Kluyveromyces lactis: one gene and its partner. The protein of the gene in region 1 interacts with the protein of each later gene in a biochemical or structural test. Links are inferred from orthologs where the notes say so. Each region holds a gene or a part of one and is shown on either strand. Other genes may lie near its edges.

The links.
Region 2: the proteins of RPN11 (region 1) and STS1 form a complex in vitro, tested with the Saccharomyces cerevisiae proteins (2 studies listed by BioGRID). The link is inferred for Kluyveromyces lactis from reciprocal best matches to the Saccharomyces cerevisiae genes RPN11 and STS1.

Annotation. Positions count from the first base shown.
Region 1 is NC_006041.1:1,251,335-1,254,238, reverse strand, and holds RPN11 (proteasome regulatory particle lid subunit RPN11), read left to right. Parts: upstream 1-1,423; coding exon 1,424-2,359; downstream 2,360-2,904. Other genes in the region: linker nucleoporin NIC96, read left to right, coding at 1-26; type 1 protein phosphatase-activating protein YPI1, read right to left, coding at 274-741; mRNA splicing protein SAD1, read right to left, coding at 2,472-2,904. UniProt on the Saccharomyces cerevisiae protein: Component of the lid subcomplex of the 26S proteasome, a multiprotein complex involved in the ATP-dependent degradation of ubiquitinated proteins.
Region 2 is NC_006040.1:1,331,987-1,334,813, forward strand, and holds STS1 (Sts1p), read right to left. Parts: upstream 1,584-2,827; coding exon 582-1,583; downstream 1-581. Other genes in the region: RCF3 (Rcf3p), read right to left, coding at 1-171; SQT1 (Sqt1p), read left to right, coding at 2,145-2,827. UniProt on the Saccharomyces cerevisiae protein: Involved in ubiquitin-mediated protein degradation. Regulatory factor in the ubiquitin/proteasome pathway that controls the turnover of proteasome substrates. Targets proteasomes to the nucleus and facilitates the degradation of nuclear proteins.

The DNA.
Region 1 (2,904 bases):
TAATCAATATAGAAGTTGGTTTGTAGCAGAGCTCTCATTTATGAGCACCTGAGTTATGTCAGAACCCAGACGTCCTACCATAATAGCATACAATAAAATAACCATGTGTAAGTCGATTGTTATTCGATATAATTGCCTGATAGATTATATATGCATATGTATATATATACATTTGAACTGCCAATTACCTTTTCAGCAGTGCATTGTTGTAGTGAGTAGAAGATGCAACGAAATGTACAAGAAGTGAAAGAGTATGCTGATCAAATTCCTAAATCATTGAGCGTCTTTTCTGTTCTTATCTCTATAAGCGCTGTAATCTGGCTGGACTTCGTATGCATTCGGACTTGGTGGACGTTTTTGCTCAAGCTTTTTTCTCCGCCTTTCGAGTCTTGCCTTTCTTCTTTCGTCAAAGCTTTTTCCCTCATCCTCGTCTGAAGAAGACGAAGATGATGAAGACGATGAATCATGTCCATGATTATGATCGTGCTCGCACTCTCCTTCCTCTTCTTCATCACTCTCTAATGGGGTATTAGGATGGAAAATGCAACAAATCTTAGTTTTCTTCTTGTTCATGTTCTCATTATCTATTACTTTCTCATCCCATCTTACTTTAGACTTGGTGTCCTTCTTCTTAGTTTTGTTTTTCTCATTCTGGCCAGCACGCAATTGAAGCAGCTGCGGAACCTCCGTAACAGTGACGGTATGCGTTCCTTCAGGAAGAGCAGAAGGTCCTTCACTCATATGTTAGGAAATATTTCAAAGTTTAATTATGATGATGGATCAAACTGATAAAAAAAGCGTGACGATAGGTAAAGTTTTCCTGTCTAAGTCTTGATAATCTTTCGTAATTTCACTTATCAAAGGACTGGGAACAAAGTATGAATAATGTAAGAAATCGTTTCCTATTTCTAAAATCTTCGGCGTCAATAAAACGGAATATTTTCTTCAACAAGTCGTGCTCTCGAGTATTTGACTGTACTAGACCATGGAGCTTCGCTTTGTATATGAGATATCCATGTATGCATAGAAGTACTCCAGTCTCATCTCATTTTTAAAGGGAAGAAAGAGGTTAAATATCTGAAGGTCAGAAAGTGGTGATGTTCGTTAATAATGACTACTAAATCCATAAGCCAAAAGAAAGATCGTAACTTTGTAATGCAGTGGCAAACAGTTTACAATTGATAAAGGTATAAGCAGATAATTCGTCAAGAATTCTCATCTCTGTACGTGTGGTATCCATAAGTCATTATTAGCAGTATTAGATACACAGTAATTGAAATCTACAAGACAATTGCATACTTCTCAGGAAAGAATAAGAATTTCAATTTGTTGGTACTTTATTAAGGAAGTATTATATCAAGAAACAGAACGCTGATACAAAAGCCAATTTATCGTCTCCGCAATTCAAATCCTTCAACAAAAGATGGAAAGTTTACAAAGAATGATGATGTCTCAAAGAGCAGGCATGATGGGTGCCAATGCCACCGAGGTTCCCCTTGATGACACCAAGGAAACTGTGTACATTTCTTCTCTTGCATTGTTGAAGATGTTGAAACATGGGAGAGCTGGTGTTCCAATGGAAGTCATGGGTCTTATGTTGGGAGAATTTGTTGATGATTATACAGTAAACGTTGTCGATGTGTTTGCCATGCCTCAGTCAGGTACAGGTGTTTCTGTCGAGGCTGTTGATGATGTTTTTCAAGCTAAGATGATGGATATGTTAAAACAAACAGGAAGAGATCAAATGGTTGTCGGATGGTACCATTCACATCCGGGTTTTGGTTGTTGGTTATCTTCAGTAGATGTGAATACTCAGAAATCATTTGAACAATTAAACAGCAGGGCTGTGGCGGTGGTTGTTGATCCTATTCAATCGGTGAAGGGTAAAGTGGTCATTGATGCATTCAGACTAATTGACCCTTCTACTGTCATGAGAAACCAGGAACCAAGGCAAAATACTTCTAATATCGGGTTGATCAACAAACCGAATATTCAAGCGTTGATTCATGGTCTAAATAGGCATTATTACTCGCTTAATATCGATTATCACAAGACTTCCGCCGAAATGAACATGTTAATGAATCTACATAAGGAACAATGGCAATCGGGACTAAAAATGCATGATTTCAAGGAAAGAGAGGAGCACAACTTGGGTGAAACTCAGAAAATGATTAAGATCGCTGAACAATTCACTAAGAGAATTGAGGAAGAGAGAGAATTGAGTGAAGAAGAATTGAAAACGCGTTATGTAGGAAAACAGGATCCAAAAAGACATCTTGCAGAGACTGCTGAAAAGCTCTTGGAAGACAATATAGTATCTGTATTAACAGCGGGTGTTAACTCTGTTGCTATTAAATAACCATCTTACATACAGTAAAAATACATCAACTTCAATTTGCGAGATAAGTTTTAGCCGATGAAATGATGAATCGATCCAAGAGTGTAGATAATCTGAATAACGAAAGCAGTTTCTAAACGCGTTGCCATATTTGAATGTAACATTCTTTAAGGAAAAGAAACTCTTTCTCAACCTTATTCACTTCAATGTCATCAAACTCGTACCATTGGTCGCGTAAAGTATCAGCGAGGTGTACTTTCCATCTGCTGGCTAACAAATCTTCTGTATCCGATATTTTCATTTGTATTACGCAATCATGGGTGATATTTACTAGTAATTTATAGTGTACACCACTGAATTCTAATTTTTCAGAGAACTCTACTAGAGTTTTGTTTCTATCTTTAATGGAAGTGAAGCCTTTGTCAAACCTGTTGAAATGAAGTATTAGGAATTTAGGATGCTTCAATATACGGTACGTTTTGATGGAATCTTTGGTATGGTATTCTGTTTCGCCATTGAATTTTTGTAAAAGTGTTTCCAGTTTCGTCTGAGATACACTGTTAGCA
Region 2 (2,827 bases), on another chromosome or scaffold:
AACCTGGGTCCGCACGTTCCTGTACGTGGTAGAAAACTTCCTTAGTAATAACGCCGTTACTAACCCAATGGCTGCACCTTTCAAAGCACCAATACCAGACGCAATAGCTATCTCTTTGGTTAATTGTTTCACTGTGCTTGGATCATAATGAACAGGTTGAACGTTTCCCATAACGGATGAATTTATCTATAATTTACGATACGTATAACGGCAGCCACGTAAAATTTAAGCTCAAACAGATATGACTTGTCCTGAGGTGCCAGCTGTCCTAATTTTGCCATTCTTTTTTCCATCTCTGCTTTCGAATGTGTAAAAGGGAAGCTTTATCAAAGCGATAAATGCATCAGTTTTAAATAAAGAGTATGGCATGACATATGAAGTTAGAGAGAAAGGGAACAGAGGAACAGGGTGAGTGATGCAAGTTTTGTATTAGAGAGCTATATATGTATAGACAAGGATATATAGATGGCCATTATGATGTTTCAAAATATCTTCCTTTTTTGGTCTGTTTGTGGGCGTTTTCTTTATATATAATGATGATTCTATGATGAGGGTGGGTTCAGCTGTCACATTTGTCCCCGTCAGCTGCTAATGTTTAAGAACCCAACAGTGGACGGTTGTGTTTGAGACAGCGGGTGACCGTTTCTGTCCTGTGACATCATAGCGGCCGAGTTCTTGATAGTCCCTATCAGTTCCAATGGTTTCTGTAGTCTATTGTTCGATCTTCCATTCAACGTATGCAATACAGACTCCCAATCTTCTAAGTTGGAAACCACGGACATAAAGGATAAATCTGTGGATGCGAATTGTATACAACTGCACCAAATCTCAGATATTTGTTCAAAACACATATTCTTGTAGTAATTATTCGAAGCTGTCTCGAAATCAGGCAATTGGTTCAAAAAATCTGTAGAACAGTTCAAGAACTTCAATGATTGTAACACACTATCCGATTGTGGAGGGATGCTAGACAATAGGAAATCGATGACACAGTTTAAAAATTCCATGATTGAAGCCTTCATACGGCCAAAAGCATAATCGTTTAACAAACCATCCGAGCTTTGATTATACTTGGAATACGGAATATCCTCATACACCTGAGTCAATTTCTCCTTCAATACCTTGACGTACTGTTCCTTGTTGAAACTTATAGATTGTACCTTGGAAAACAGCGAATGCTGAATCTCTGGATGTTCCCTTACCAACGAAAGTAAGACAGACTGCAGTAACTGTTTATCCATCAATTCTACAGATCTCGGGAACGGAAGTGGCTGTCCTTGGATATAGTTCCGGTACACCGGTTTCTTTTTACTGACCCGTTGCACAACTTGAGACACAGGCCCATTCATCGAAACGTCTTCTTCTGTGTAACGTCTCTTGATTCTAGGCTTTGAAATACGACGTGAAGACGTTCCATGCGTAAGTCTATGCTGACTACTCTGAATATGACCATGAGCGCGCTCATGGTCGTTACTGATGTCATTGCTCTCAGTAGAGCTCGTCTGTTCTTGACCCATGTTCAAATTCTCACCAGAAGAAACACTGGGGCGAAATCCCCATTCAAACCCAACACTCTGGCTCATTGCAGTAGCTTAAAATCCTATACTGTATTGTGTTATTGAGACGCTTATTCCAGCACCAGTATCAAACCCTCTGGATAATGGATAACCTGGTTTCGTTGGGTAGTTTCCTTTATGCATTTGTGCAAAACTGATACAGAATGTTATAGATAGAATATGGAATTTGAACCAGTTTCCATAAGGCACTAAATCGTATATGGTGACAAAATTACTCAAGATTATCCGAAACTTGGTCATTAGAGCACCAAACCGGTTACTTGGAAGGCGTATTACTGTCCAATAATGATCGAAGGATAGCTATATGGTATCTGAACAGTACAAGCTGACTATAATAGTCCAATTAGACCATATTTGCACATTTGCGTTTCTTTTACGTCCTTTTCTTTCTCTTTAAGCACTGAAAAATTTCAGTTTAAAGCTCATCTCATCTCATCACTTGAAGATGACTTACTAATGCAAAGTGTATTGAAAGTTCATATCTGTTTGTTTCTGGCTTAGTTAAAGGATCGGAATACCACTGTTAATCCACAGCTCACGGAGAATTATAGTTGTTTACTGATTAACATGGACAACACCGAATTGAATACAGCGGACAATGTTCCTGAAGAAGAGTTCATTGCAGATGAGGAAGTTGGTGAAGAAGTTGTCTTAGATAACGTTGAACCTAGTGAGAATATTGGTGATGATGACGATAATGATCAAGAGATGGGCGGTTTAGATGGTGCTGAGACCCTTGAGATCGATATGTCTAATAATTCAAGTGGATTTTTCGATAAGCATACTGATTCTATATTTTGCATTGCACACCACCCTACTTTGCCCCTAGTGATGACCGGTGGTGCAGACAACGTAGCGAACTTGTGGACTTCTCATTCGAAACCTCCTAAGTTTGCTGGATCCTTAGAACATACTGAGTCTGTGATTTCTGGTGGGTTCACACCTGATGGGAAGTTTTTAATCACTGCAGATATGAACGGTAAGGTATTTATTCATAAGTCTGTGAAGGGCGGTGCTCAATGGAAACGTTGTAGCGAGTTAGAAGAAGTGGAAGAAGTTGTGTGGTTAAAAGTACATCCAACGGTATCGGGTGTTTTTGCATTCGGTGGTGTTGACGGATCGGTATGGTGCTATCAGTTGAACAACGTGGATGGGTCGTTGTCTCAGATCATGTCCGGTTTCTCTCATCAACAGGACTGTACCATGGGTGAGTTCATTAATGTAGAAGAAGGTGAGAACAATTTGACTTT